Lepisosteus oculatus: one gene and its partner. The protein of the gene in region 2 interacts with the protein of the main gene of each other region in a biochemical or structural test. Links are inferred from orthologs where the notes say so. Each region holds a gene or a part of one and is shown on either strand. Other genes may lie near its edges.

Evidence for each region.
Region 1: the proteins of src (region 2) and stat3 form a complex in vitro, tested with the Homo sapiens proteins (3 studies listed by BioGRID). The link is inferred for Lepisosteus oculatus from reciprocal best matches to the Homo sapiens genes SRC and STAT3.

The regions. Positions count from the first base shown.
Region 1 is NC_090723.1:4,841,452-4,849,034, forward strand, and holds the start of stat3 (signal transducer and activator of transcription 3), read left to right. Parts: upstream 1-4,561; 5' UTR 4,562-4,803; intron 4,804-5,240; exon of another isoform or gene 5,241-5,429; intron 5,430-5,918; exon of another isoform or gene 5,919-6,034; intron 6,035-7,583. UniProt on the Homo sapiens protein: Signal transducer and transcription activator that mediates cellular responses to interleukins, KITLG/SCF, LEP and other growth factors. Once activated, recruits coactivators, such as NCOA1 or MED1, to the promoter region of the target gene.
Region 2 is NC_090711.1:12,030,405-12,038,101, forward strand, and holds the start of src (proto-oncogene tyrosine-protein kinase Src), read left to right. Parts: upstream 1-4,693; 5' UTR 4,694-5,248; intron 5,249-7,697. Other genes in the region: protein MANBAL, read left to right, coding at 175-282. UniProt on the Homo sapiens protein: Non-receptor protein tyrosine kinase which is activated following engagement of many different classes of cellular receptors including immune response receptors, integrins and other adhesion receptors, receptor protein tyrosine kinases, G protein-coupled receptors as well as cytokine receptors.

The sequences.
Region 1 (7,583 bases), on a different chromosome or scaffold from region 2:
AGCACCTCAGCAACAAGATAGTAGCTGTTACAGAGAGGTTGAAGTTCAGCTCTGACCACTGCCTAGTCTCTATAGGAAGAGAAGGGGCTTTTGAGATTGAATTACTCTTTCAGTGGTTATAGTCCATGATAGCATAAAGTATTGCAAAACAAGACTGGCTCCTTCTATTACTTTGTTATTGCCGGCACCTGCAATTTGGTTGAAAAGCACAATAGAACATCTGACTACTGTATCCACCTCTGCCTGTCACAGAGCAGATGAAAAGGACTCTTTAGAACCTGATACCTAGATGTACTTGTACAACTCCAGCCTCCTCTGAAAAAAGGCACTTTGGCACGATCAAAAAATGGCTGCTTTGCTTATTTTAATGGAGGTTGCTAATTGCTTTATGACTTTATGAATGCTGTTGGTTGTGAGACAGCAGGAATATTTTTATATCAGCAAACATGACTGTATCCTGGTGATCAGATTCAGAAAGGAAAGAAATGTATCCCTTCTTTGTGACAAAAGTAAAAAAACACAATTATGTTTACATTGACCACATAGATTAGATTTTATTTTACCGCTATCTTATGTATCCAGATAATACAGCTTGCTTTCTGCACTGTATCACTGCAAATCGCCTAACCACTAACAACTCAATAAAAAACACCCTGATTGACATCCTAAGAGTCTCACTGTCTTTGTGTCTGGTGTGGTAACTCCAGCCTCAGAGCTGTACATCTGTATGTCTGTAGAATGGGAAACTGTAAGTATGTAGAGCTGCTCTTGAGGACTGCCTGAAACTGACACAGTGACTAGGGCCTGGGGCCCAGAATATAATGGGCTCCAGTTCTTAATGAAGACACTACTGTCCTTTTCCAGACAAGTCTTTCCCAGCCTCACCAGTCACCCCAAATGTTTAAACAGCTACCACTGTAACAGGGGCTTAAACTGCACTGTAGATGTAGATGTAGCACATATTCTCAGTTTTGATTAATGCTACAGACCCTTGATTGAATTGAGTTTTTGTTGACTCATCTTCTGAGGTCTGCGAAGGAGTTCAACCTTGAATTGTTTGAAAGAGTCTAAAGTTATCTTCGTCATTGCAGTCTAAGCTGTAGTTAGGCGTCAAAGTGAGTTACAACACAGAACGTCACATATGGAACGGCTTTGAATTTTAAGTGTACCTGTGCACAGAGTGTCACGTCATAGTCTAGTTAGTCACATGCATCACCATTTGAAAGTCATAAACAATACATCCGTTTAAAAGGCCGATCCTTAACAGAGGCCTGTTTGCAGTAAGGAAGTGAGAACACAATGCCAAAGGGAGGTAACTGCTTTTAAACAGGACACAATCTGACAGCCGATCTTTTGATTAGCTTTACTGGAATGCCATTTGTATTGCGATGCTGTTGCCAAGTCTGAATAGGAAACCTGCTGATTCTTGTAGCGCTTGTTGGTTAGCTTCTAAGTCCGGAGAGAAGCAGCTGCTCATCACTATGGTAACAGAAGACACGAAATCACTCACCCGCAGCTGGGCACAAAAACCAGACCTCAGACTTCGTTTCACCTGAGACAAACTGGCAATATTTTACACTTCTTCTTCTCCTGCTTGTTGAAACCAGACAGAATGAAAAAGTAGAAAGGGGTGAAGCAGATTTCACACTGTGTCCTACTGTAAATGCTTTCATAAACAGTAAAACAAAGTCAGATCATTTGAAAGAGAAAGTATTAATTTTATTCTGGGAATTCATCTGTTTTAATCCGTCTGTTTCCTGAGATTATATAACACAGATCCTACCAGCACTTACTGTTTGGTCAGCCTGGTTTAAAGCTGGTTCACAAAAACCTATTTTTGCCTTCAAACTGGCTATAGCCTTTGGTTAGCAAAGCACTCGTTTTTTATATCTAAAGTGAGAGAAATATATATGGTTCATGAATAAATTTGATATTAAATAGCGTGGCACCTCTGATGGTGCGAATGGAAACTTTGATAGACACTGTGGGAGTTTGTTTCACAGGTTGCCCACCATAACCGCCATTGTTTCATTTAAGCTACTCCTTCCTTAGAGGAAATGCACCGTGTGTCAAGGCTGAATTCTTTCAGATGAAAACTGTAACTTAAATCCCTTTGCTTTTGTTTTTTTCTGTTTTGGTTGACTGGGGCTAAATAAAACAAATCTTGAACAAGCAATGTTTGGGAAATCAAAGCACCCGCACTGTCAGAACTGGACGTCTGTGATGTAAGTCCACACGCAAGGTATTTCTACAGTATCTATGTGTACAGTACATGTCATATCTCACTTGGCATGTCAGTTTGGAGTGCCAGCTGGGAGACAGCAGCTCGTATGTGCAAACCAACAGAATATTTAAGAATAATTGTTACGCTTATATAGCCCTTTTGTGGACAGGTAATGGGGATCCCCTCCACCACCACCAGTGTGCAGCCCTACCTGGATGATGTGACAGCAGCCAGAGTGAGCATGTACACTCCCCACACACCAGCTCTCACTGGGGAGGAGAGCAGAGTGATGAAGCCAATTCCTAGATCGGGATTATTAGGAGGCCATGATTGATAAACCCCGGGATTTTTAATGAGGACAGAGAGTCAGGACCCCAGTTTTGTGTGTCCCCATCACTATACTGGGGCATTAGGATCCACACAGATGGCAGGGTGAGTGCCCCCTACTGGGCCCATTAACACCTCTTCCAGCAGTAACCTCAGCTTTCCCAGGAAGTCTCCCATCCAGGTACTGGCCAGGCGTCAGTAGGTTGCAGTTGTGATATATCTACCGGTCCCATGGCATTCGTAATCCTACATTCCTGGGTTTGACTATAGGCGTGGATGCCTTCTGTGTTTAGTTGGCATGTTTTCCAACGATCACATGGGTTTTCAGCAGGTGCTATAGTTTGCCTGGCTGAATTGCTCATTTCATGAGGAGGAAGTGTGATGCCCCATCCTCCAGGGAAAACTCCCCCACAATGCCAGAGCCCAACATAGAAGGGACATGTATTGAGTAGAAAGGCAATGACTTCGTCCGTTGGCAGCAGACTGGGTTCCCATCTGGAATGAAGTCATGGGAACTCAGACCAGACCAGACCAGGGGTGAGCAACACTGCCTTACAGGATGGCCGCACGCCAACTGACTGTAATAATAATAATAATAATAATAATAATAATAATAATAATAATAATATCGCTTTATTAGCCCTATACAATTTTCTTGCATTAGGAACTTGTCTTTTCACATACCCCAACTTGCTCTCCGTGAGACACACAGACAGGGAGAGAAGCTGGGGGTCAGAGCGCAGGGTCAGACATTTATACAGCACCCCTGGAGCAGTTGGGGTGAAGGGGCTTGCTCAGGGGCCCAACGGAGTAGGATTCCTCTGCCGGCTGCAGGATTCGAACCGGCAACCTTCCAGTCACAGGCACAGATCCTGAGCCACAGAGCCACCGCTCCGCCCCTCTGCCCATCCACTCATTCCTCCCACCACACAAGAGCGCCAAGGAACCTGTGGGGTCTTTGATTGACACAGCAAGGGGAACCCCAGCGGGGACACTGCCAGGGACCTTACAAACCCTTCTATATGGCCTTTCTGCTTTTATAGAAAACCACTTGCTCTGACATTTTTCAACAGTTTCAGCTGCTTAAAATGACATAAGTCTGGGAGCAGCAGAAATAGCTTGTTATTGTGTGAACTGGACTGTTTTAACAATACCCCACAGCTTTCCGGATAAACTTTGCTGTTAACTTAAGGAGAAAAATCAGAAAAACTGAAGGCAGGACATCTCCCTACCAAAAAGACTGGATACCCCCCAACAGTACAAATGTACATGCAGTGCAGACATCCATCTGGAAAATGACACCCCCCCACCTCCTCTTCCTTCAACTTCAACTTCCTTCAAATAACCCTTCACTGTGTCACTTCTGGTTTGTGCCTGTTCAGAAAAGTAAAAACTTCGGACTATCTGATTATCAAAGGGCGTCTATTATGCGTAGAATGTGGAGTTTAGAATAGAATATGGAGTTCTTACTAGAGACATTTATTAAAAAGCATACCAACGGGAAATACAGGAAAAGGAAATAAAGAAGACTGATAGGTAAATTGTCATTGCCTTCTAAATATATGTTTGATGATTCATTTAATAGCTTTCTAGCTATTTAGTTCCTTTCATTAGCAATAGCTCACTCAATGCTCTTAAAAATCCAGTTTTCATTTGTCTTATTAAACTGCATGTGACGTAATCACTGCCAGTAACTCAGATGATTTCCAGCCGCGCTGTTCCAGGCACTGTTACACCTTCCCTCCGCTGCAGCCTTTTTAAAGAAGGGATTCTTTTGAAGTTCGACGGAAGCACAAGAGGGAGGTAAGATTTTATTCTAGAACGGCGGTGAGGGCGTGAATTATAAACACTGCGATGTCGCGCACAGTCTAACCTTAGGCTTTCTGTCCCCGCCCCCTTTTGGGTTTTTGGAGGTGCTGATTGGATGAGATATTTACACCTTTATGAATAATTAAGTAACAGGAAAGGATTCTCCACGGTTATTGGACCAAGGAGCTGTTTCCTGCTACTGGGGTTAGGTTGTCTCCAATGCTGGCAGAGGAAATACTTAACAACAGCGATTTTTCAGCAGCCATCGAGTTTGGGAAAGTTAGAGGAAAAACTGAAAAGCGAAGTTAGGGAATAAGGCAAACTGTTAGCACTTCAGACTGATTCTGTCCTTTATAAAAAGATTAATTCTCGCTTTTAGCATTTCTGTGAGGAAACAGTTACGGGACCTTGATTTTTCAAGAGGACCTCCAGTGAGAAATCAGGTAAGGGGCTCTTGTGTAATTGTTACGATTTGGCCAGTTTTTTTTAAAAAAAAAACCCTTGTTTATAACAACAAACCCGTAATCTCGGATTAAGGTCTGCTTCGCGTATGACGGGTTTTCTGCATTGAAGATGAGGGATGTGTAAAGATTTAAAAGCCACACGCTTTTGCATGACTCACACCAGACGAGTCAGAAACACAGAAGCGCAAAAAGCGGACCGCTCGGCGAGAGACCCGGGGATGCGCGTTTCCAAACCTGAGCGAAAGCGAAAGAAATGGCCAACGTCGTTGATTTGAAAAAGCACGTTTTTTTGTGTTTGTCCCCACCCCCTCTCTCGATTGAGATTTTATTGATTTTCCCCGTGTCTGGCTGCAGTGCGATAATTTCAAGGGAGGTGAGCCCAGCAAGGCGACAGTGGCGTGTTTCTGAGCGCTTACCTGCGCGTACGAGTGAACCCCCACACCTGGCGAGCTTGTTCTGGTATGAGCTGTCTGTAGTCTCATCAATGGAAATGCCTGTTCTGGGTGAATGCCCACTTTCAAAATTACTCCGTAAAGATCCCCCTCATTTGAAATTTAAAACCCCTTAAGGCTCGATAAATGAGAAGTCATTCCACATGTCATGGTGTGTACTGTAACCGGCATTCAGCCAAGTCGGTGCCAAGACCCGGGGAGTTTTTATATTACCATATACTAGAACTGCGTTGAAGAGATTCCGGAACTGAATGGGGTTCCGGCACCCTGATTGGGGGGAAAAAAAGAAATATGATGAGATATATGTTTTTTTGAAATGATAAAGGGTAAGTTTCAGTTCATCTTTCAAGTTGTCCGCGTAAAACCGTGTTTTTCGTGAGGAAGTCTGCAGAAGTGGGTTTAGCTTCATTGACGATTTTCTTTGCACGAACACTTGTGTGTGTGTGTGGATAAATATTAAACACATTTCCTGGTAGAGAAGAGGCGAGCTCAAAGAACAGTCCGACAGGTCGGAGAGTTTTCTGTTCACTTGTGATTCATCTGTTAGCATTACGCAATGCTTTTGCAGCGAAAGAGAACAGTCGGTGTCAGATCGACTTCCTCGCTGGGCTAAATCGAGCTTCGTTCTCGCTTGCTGTGGTGAACGGTTCCGATGACATTAAAAGGCTATATATTTTTTTTTAGTAATCAAAGTTACAAAGTAACACCTTCAGAAACGTTTTGGAATTCTGGCTTTCATTTTTACGCGCAGAACGGAGGTGAGATCATGACTAATGCTTAAGAAAAACTCACTTTCCTTCATCCACCAGGAGTTCAAAAGGGCTGGTTGTTGATTATTTCGACACCCCTGCTAAAACCCTAAAAATAAAAGGACGGTCACTTAACGTCTACGTTTATTTTTGGTTATGCAACCAAATAGTTTAGGTAAGGCTTTGTCTTCTGTGTTTTGGTTGGTTAGAGATCCATACCCGTTCTTTAGTACTTGCAAACTGTAAGAAACCGGATTTATGTTTTGCAGAGGTGAGGTGACGCCTTTGAACCGTGTGCGTAGTTTCACGGTGCTTTGGGTCAGCTCTGATTTTTGGAGGAGGCTGAGACGAGCAAATCGATCGCAGTTCTTCAGCTTTAAAGACGCGCTCGTTTCCACGGCCTGAGCATGTGTTGTGGTAGCTCGATAAATGAGGTGCTAGGTTCGGCCCTTTGAAGTGGCTGGGAAGGGGAACTCTGCCTTACACCTAAGCTCGCTGTGATCAGCACAGGTACCTGCTCGCCGGCTCGGGTGGATGTACACGCGAGTAGGCTTCATGACAGGCTTGGGAATTTCCTCTCTGGCAGCCTGAAGCACGTAGCTGAAGGTCGAGAATTTTTCTTTTACCAGAGAATGGAACTGTAGCGGAGGTTTGGAAAAGCTGGGGGGGGGTCCTTTGCACCCGATCTCCGTGCTGCAGGGTGGCCAGTCTCCACTCGTGAGCGTTGCCGTGCTTGAGCAACGAGTCGTCCATTGACACGGGTGATAGTGAGTGGGTGTGTGTGTTGGGGTGGGATACTTCCACTTGCCGTTCAAGAAATGACTTGGGCTTAGAGTCTGCGCAGATCCCACTCTTTTAGCATAAAGCATGGTCTGAGTTTTCCCAGATTTCCACTTTTCCACTCTCGCTCTGCATCAGGCATGGAAGACGCTTGGAGAAAGTGGGCTCGTTGAAGTCTGCAGGGCTTGATAAAGGTTCCTCTCCGCCTGGTGGGCGGCCAGTACTCGCTGATCAGTATGTGATCATTATTTTGTCGAAGCTGTCTTACACAGGAAGCTGCTTGTATTGATGAGGTCTAAATGCAGAGGTCTTTGCTCTGGTGTGGGCATTCCACTCAACATCTCTTCAGCACTGCACACTCTCAAAGATGTGCTGTTCTTTTGTGATGCCCGTTTAAGTGCTACTTGACTGAGCTACAGAGCTTGATGGCTTAGACTGCATTTTAAAATCAGGTGTTGCGATGGCTTGGTCTTTTTGCCTTTCAGCTCGTCACCGTGAAGGATCAGTAAAGGATTATACTAGAGGTGTGTTTCATAATGTCTTCGTCAGCCTGACATTTTGTTTTCAATATTCTGTGGTTTATCAATGACTTCACCTGCAATTGCCCCTGCATCCCTGTCTCTTCCTCTTTCTTCTCAGCTCTCATCTTCTCCCACTCCCACGCCTCCTTGGTGAAGTGGACTGTGTGCTTAAATGCACCCTTGTTTGAACCTGTCAGCTGTTCCACCACTATCCGAGTGCTTAAGTAGTGCTTTAAAAGTGAATTTTGCCAGCTGAA
Region 2 (7,697 bases):
ACGCTAGCAGATCTTATTGTTCTTTTGAGCTGTCTACCACCTGCACTGAAAACCTGAAAAAGTGAAGGTTGACCTTCAGAGGTTCTAAGAGAAGCTCGTATGGGTTACAGATGGCTTTTCTACCCCTTCATGTCCGTGGTCTGTCCTTCAATGCCTGTGCTTTTGCCCCTGCAGGACGCTGAGCCCCATGATGCGCGCAGTGCGGAGCAGAGCAAGAAACCCAAAGGACCCGCCCCCCAGCTGCGACAGAAGCTGAAGAAGGAGAGCAAGAAAAAGAGATGACCTGGCGCAGGGGCTGTGCCCGCGTGTGAGATCGCAGTTAGGAGGAGCATCGGAAGTGGCTGTGTCAGGCCAAGGAGACAGATTTGTGACAGGGCGGCTGAGCGATCTCAAATAGATAAAAAGTGAAATCCTTTTCATGCACAGGGGGTTAATATTGAGGCCAAGGGCAGGGTGGAGTTGGACACCTCTGTTTCCTCCGGCTGTGAAGGGGGTGGTCTCCAGAAAGCCCACAGTCTCTGTGGGGGAGGAGCTGAGTCCTAGGTGTCATGTTTTGCCTGTGCTCTGCAGCACCTCACTTAGGGCTTTGGCTTGCAGTGTGAATGGAAATTCCAGAGGTAAAGAATGAGCTGAAGCACACAAGGAAAGGGGTGAAGTGGAGTGCTTCTGTGAAATTCCAAGAATCTGCAGAAGGCAGCCCTTCAGAGCTCAGAATGAAACCTTTCGCTGGCCTGTGCACGCCGTTTTCACTTTTTATCACGTGAACCTGTTACAGACCTGTTTCAGACTTTCTCATGCTACTAAAGCCAATCGTCATCTGTTTACCACTGCATAGCAGCCTTGACTCTGACCAGCTGAAACTTCCTGGTATTGACATACCACATGCTCTCACTAACTGTGGCCTACGTACGTGGGCATTGTTTTTTCGTTGTTGGCTTCAGTAGTCTTTTCAAACCAAATATTTGGACCCTTTGTTTGAACAGTCCATTCCCAAGCATTCTGGACATGGAAGAGACTTGAAGCAAAATCATTTCCTTCTGAAAGCTTTTGTGTGCTTCCCTGGGTTTAGTACGTTGTGCTTGGGCAGGCCTTTCACATAATATATTTTTAATTGGGTGCTTTAAATATAGTGGCCCCAACCAGCATTTTCACTACACCTGTCCATATATAGGAGATGCATGAGAATGATAACTGAATATTGCATACTTAGGAATGCAGCGTCCAAGCACAAGTAATCTTGCGACTCAAAATAGTACGCAAAGTGCACGTACGGTTTTTCTAATAGGTATTTTTACATTTGGTTGACAAATACCCATTGGAGCCACTACTTGTCCTTGTATTATCATTTACAAGTAATGTTTAGGTACAGTACTATCTACACTTGACCTAAACTCTGTGAAATCTCCAGACAATGCATTTTAAGCTCTTGAACACTGGTGTAAAACCTCTTTGAAAAGGTTTGGAACAGTTTATTTTACTACCATTCTTGTTGTGTGCACAGCTGTAAGAAAATCACTGTGTTTAACGTGGGCTTTGTTTATGCTCTCCTCAACTTAGTCTTGTTTGTTACATTTCTCCTTCAGAATGTGTCACGGCATTGTTTTTTTACATATTGCAAAACACTTTTTGCTCTGTCTGGGGCTTGATGTTTTTTGTGTGCCGGCATTTACTCCCTTTTTAAAAAAAATGTATGTAATATTAACATCCGCCATTGCATGCCTTGTTCCTAGAGTGAATCTCTTCACATTTTGATTTCCTTTTTTTTTCTTGTGGCATCATGTCTGTGCACAAAAGCGCTAAAGAAACTGAGGCAAGACTGAACTCGCTTCCTTAGTGTCTGATGTGCGGTACAAGCTGAGATGTTTTCCTGTAAATGTATGGAACACTAAGGAAATAAATTCCGCCTTGAGAATTTTTCTACCCATTTTTGTGTTTCTCCTTATTAAAGTCTGGCAAAGCTTTGTTTTGTGCTTTTAGACTCGTGCAGGTTTTTTCACTTTTATTTTGAGAGCCAAACAATGTAGCCGGGAAGGGTGAGCAAAAATTAATGTCATTGCAGATCTGGAACTGTATCCGAGAGGAGCTCAGTTTGAAAAAGCGAAGGCACACAGTTCCGATGGGGGTTGGTATCTTGCAGCAGCGTTCAACTTCTGGTTTCTAGAGCATGAGTCTGTGTAATTGTAATTTCACATGGATTTAGAATCTGTCCTGTCTGCATGCGGGGAGGAAGCCTGGTTTGAGACTGCTCAAATGCCACTGCACAAACAATTTATTGCCATGCTTTTTCACAGTCCAGTGTCACTCTTGACAATATGTAGCTCCAAGTGATTTAAGAACATTCTTTCCTATGTGAACGTGACATTCACATCCATAGCTTCAAAAAAAAAAACACCCTGTCAAACAGAAGGGGGATTCTGGAGTAGTTGGTATTTTTAAACTACATGTCTCAACTTGGAAATCTTAAAATATGGAAGCTAAACATTAACATGAGGTCCACAGTTATATACCATGTGCGGATTCTGCTTACAAAATTTTAGAAAGGTGGATACACCAGGTAACTTGTAGGTGTTCGTATACATAGAGTATACATGCGTAACTAATTTACATTGTCAGTTTCTCTAAGGTTTATTTACAGGGCCACTGATCTTTTGGAATTTGCATCATCATCCCCTTTGGAATGGAAAAGGCCTTTTCTGTTAAAATACTTCCGTTGTCATTTGTCTAAATGGACATGATGTTATTACTGTGTTAATAGAGTCTGTTGGTTATGGAACTCATCTAGACTAGAATGTCTTTATACTAGAATAATGCAAATGAACTATTACTAACATAATCTAACCCCCATATGAGAAATGATAATAAATCTCTGCACAGTTCTGTAATTTATGGAAAGGCTGAATAAAACTTGCACAGTACAAGTATTCACCTTTAGAGTGATGCTTGTTTAGGTACAATTTAGATCAAACATATTACTGCCAGAAGAGAGGAACTGTATTATCTATGTAATAAAATGGTCCTGTTAATCAGTCTGTGCATTATCAATGCATAGGCAGGTGTTAAAGGTTACTGAAGCGTGTTTACTTTGGCTCAGTTTTGTGCCCTTTGAACAAATAGCATTTTTATGGTGTTACATTCCAATCTTCAAAAGTGGTCACAGTCAGGAGTGGACCAGTGGTTCGCATTGCTGTCTCACAGTGCTGGGGTCCTGGGTTCACATGGATTTCCTCCAGGTGTTCCGGTTTCCTCTCACCGTCCAAAGACATGCCAGCCGATTGATTGGCTTCTATAAAACCTGGCCCTGGTGTGTGTGCCCTGAGAACGACTAGCACGTTCCTTCCAGGAATTATGCTGCCTCGTGCCCACTGCTTGCCGGATTTGGCTCCAGCTCCCAGCGTGCCCCGGTGCTGGATAAGAAGATGGCTGGATGGCTGCTGTCACCTCCATGAGCAGAGTCATCAGGAAATAAGGGTTACAAACAAGGGGAGGCCATGTGGCCCATTCTGTTACTCTTGTGTTTTTTTCTGTATCAAAGTATCTTATCCAGTTGCCTGAAAGGAGTGATGGTATCACCATTGACAAGGTGGCTGGGTATCATACCTCCAACTGAGTGGTCAGTTCCAAAGCAGTCATTTTCATTACTGCCCTAAACAACTGGGCCACAATCATACATGTATTGTACATAAGTAACTGTGGATAAAGGTATCTATTAAGGAATGATCTAAGTCTTATACATTTCTCAATGGCAAGATATTTCTTAATGGAAGGCTGATCCTGAGACCCAGCCCGCTGTACATCAGGTAATCTTTTGTTCATACTCTGCTGACTCATTCTGTCATTCCTGATTTGGGATAAAACCTACAGGAGTGCCACACCTCTCCTTCCTATTTCATTTTGACATTCACTTACACTGAAGCACTGTTACACAGTAACACTGAACCTGGGCCCAGAACGCTTCCTCCTCTCTGTTCTAAAAATGAACACATAAATTCATTCAGTTGGCTTAACTTTGCATTCTCTTCACTCTGGAAACATTTTTTGGACATTTGGTGAGTGTATCAGAATCAGATTTTTATTGTTGTTGTATGAAGTCCACAGATTCACAGCAGGAACTTTGGTATTTAACAGAACCTTACTGCTGATTAATTACTGTCTCATTCTTCCTAAAAATACATTTTGTGCCTGTGTGTATGGCAAAGCTATGTGCGCAGTACTCTGTTTGTCCAGAAATGGTCAATTACAGGGCCAGCGGCTCAGATTGCTTTGGAATGTATAAAATCCACTAGCCACGATCCATCCAAGTTCCGTCAGTGCTCCTGATTTATTTTTATGTTCAGTCTCTCGCCTACAACTGTACAGTCCAAACCCCTGAAAGCCAGTCACCCACAATCCTGTGTCATCAGAAACACGAACTTCGAAAAATCTGTCTTTTTTTTTTTCTGGCAGCGCTATAGTGTCATGCACAGGCGTTCCCCCAGCCTATATATAACGTGTCACATCAAGGTGTTCATATATGGGCACCAGCAAGGCCATCCTTTCTGGGAAGCAGCGTTCCCCTTTGGTGTCCACTAGGCGGGGTTGTTTTATATGTAAATTCCCAAACCCCCTCCTTCTAAAATCCATTGGCTTCTTCCGATTCTTAAAAGATCGTACGCAGGCAGCAGTGGGATAGCCGCCCAGCCACACCAGCTGGGAGCCTTTTACGCCGATTCCGTAGCGCCCTTCGGCCGATCCTACCTCCCCTTTCGCTCCCAGCCTTGCGAATGGTCTCGCTGTCTGCCTCCTTCAGCCAAGGTCTGTTTTTCACCATATGTGATTAGGCAGCGCACTGCGCTGCTGCGCAAAAGATTGATCTCCCGTAATAAACTATTTTCTTTTTTTTCCCATTTTCCCCCAGATCCATGTGTTTATTAGGCAAGGCATTCGGGAGGTGGATATCTCCTTGCCTTTTGTAATCTCTTGGATTTTATAAAAGTTGAATTCAGCACTCAAAATCGGTGCTGTTTTTTTTTTTCCCCAGGCAATCCCCGCAATGACCTCGCTGCAGCCCTCCGATCTCTTGAATGGGATTTCAGATCACTCCTAGCATTTCGTTTCTGCTCTTAGCCCTGCGTGCCGTATCGGTTGTCTTTTTGTGTGTGTGTGTGTTTCTTTGGATGACGGAGTAACAGTAACACCTCGGACTTCATTCAAAAGGAACACGTCGCATTTGAGACCAAGGCTACCAAAAGGATATAAAGAACCCGAATAGGTGAGTAACTTATTCTCTTCTGTCTTGCCTAAACCGATCCGGATACTTGGCATTTAGAACAGGATCAATGACAGTCTGTGGTAGCCCTGCATTACTGAAAAAGGCAGAAAGAGATACAGTGTATAGTTTTCTCTTCAGCGTGAGAAATCATCTTGTAAACCAAATGTTAATCTGGGACTAGCCGACCACGTCTCAGTGGGTTTCTCATTGATTCTCATTTTCCCAAGTCGTTTTTAAAAATTCTTATTATATTGCTGTCAATGTCTGAAGCAGATAACAATTCCCTACGGTTTATGATTCTCTTAACAGAGAGGCATCCGCTGAAGGACCGGTTAGTATGTGTCAGTTAAGCCTATAATGTATATTTCTGTAGTTTCTTAGGCTTTTCTAGCCTAAAGTAAACGACATCGATCAAGCCTGTAAATAAAATGATGACTACAACGCAAATGGCTAAATTACCTTTGCTGTTTTCTGTTATTTGTCCAGTTTGCGTGCGACCTAAACGATAGTTTTTTGTTTGTTTTTAGGTGCTTGTTATTTTAAAATTAAAGTTGACTTAAGAGACGAACAGTTAAATTACTGCGTCCTTTTATGGTTTTTCACACCCATAACATTTCTTTTTAAAGCAAGATACATACGGGTATGACTCACCTTGTTGGAATCTGTCTTGTCCATTAAGTTAGCATAAACGTAATGCAAATGTCGGTAACTATGTTTAAGGGAAAGAATTGCAACAATCCCTTTGTTCTTAACACCTTAGATAACACAAAAGTGAGCTGGGTCAGAATGATCTCTTTAAAAGAAATGTAAGACGGCATGACTTGAATTTGTTTCCATGATGTTTGGCCAGCGTTTGCTCCAATGAAAAACATCAAATTCGTCATAAACACATCAGGACAGTTGTCAAAATGTGTAGTTCGAACGAGTAATTTTTCATTCTTTTTGCCCTTAGCATAGTTAAGGGTTGTGTTTTTAGAATTCATGACACACCAGCTGTAGTTTTCTTTTTTGCAAGACAATACACAGGTTTTGACATTTATCCTTGCTCATCACGTGTGTTGAGAAATACTGCAGTCTGGATTTCTGTCGGGACACTGAGTGGAGTGAGACGTACTGTAGACACCCGAGATCATTGTTTGAAATTATTTCGAGAGAATGTGGCCGTAGCAGCAAACTGTCTCAGAAGTCATTTCAAAGTCTCCAGTCACAGCAGAAGTAGGAAACCTCTAGGACTACAGTACTGTGATCTATATTCCGTGATCGTTGAGTCCGCTATAGAATTCCTGTACCGTGATAAAACACATATTTTTTTCAGGAATTCCTAAAAGCATTGACTTTCTAGTGAGTACTGAAGAATAGTATACATATACTGTATATTAATTTTAATGCTGTCTCTGACTTATTTCACACCCAATAAATACTCCTTGAAATGTTATACTTTTCTAGGGTTTTTATTATGCTTTCTGGCAGTTCCATCAAAACCAATTTCTAAAGCAGGAACTTAACAGGCAGTGTGCAACATTAATTTGCTTCCCTCTAAACTAGTTGCAAGCGCTTATTTGTGTGTGGGGATTGGATAATTAATGCCAACCCTGAGATTTGTTTTGAAGCAACTTCACAAAATTTCACAAGTGCGGTGTTACAACATTTTAGTAGGAAACGTACACACGCAGGGCTGATACGGATCTAAGCAAAACCTGCAACAGTGTCAGGTGTGTTGTGTAGCAGGATATGTATCCAGTTGGAAAATATTGTAAAGTAACCATCTAGTATAAAATTCCATTAAAAGTCTAATAATCCTTTACATTTTAGTATTTTTCCATTCATGCAAGATGACTGGACTGGAAGTAGATTTGAGCTCCTGATAAAGTAACAGCATCTGCTATGTGATGATGCCCACCAGAAGCTTTTTCTACCTACTGTATTTGTCACAAAAGACTAATTAGAGCATCACGTTATGTAAACACTGGAGCACATACTGTACAACCCTCTGCATTTGCCTTTTATCTTATTATAAAGTTTCTCAGTTTCCCTTGTTTGGGTTATTAATATTGCATCTGGCCTGTTTTCATTCAGGTTTTTACCTTCATTACTGTGATACATGACTGGAGGCCATGGCATTCATTAAATCTTGAGTTGCATTGTGGTTGGTAATAAAGTACAGGTACACCCTATTAATCATACAGAATGATAAAGGCCTTTCATTGGTTAAACATTGTCACATGATCATGGCACTGAAGCTATAAAAGGGCCTGCATATTGAAGACGTTTTTAAACTGTATAAATCATTGCTTGCCACTATATTGTAGATAACTGCAGTTTCTTGCCATAGCTGCCAAATGACATGTATGCCAAATAGTATTTGTGGAATTCATAACATAGCATGATGTATAACTCTGTGTCCGTCTGCCTAATACTTTCTGGTTTTGTTTTAACTTCAAGTTGAAAT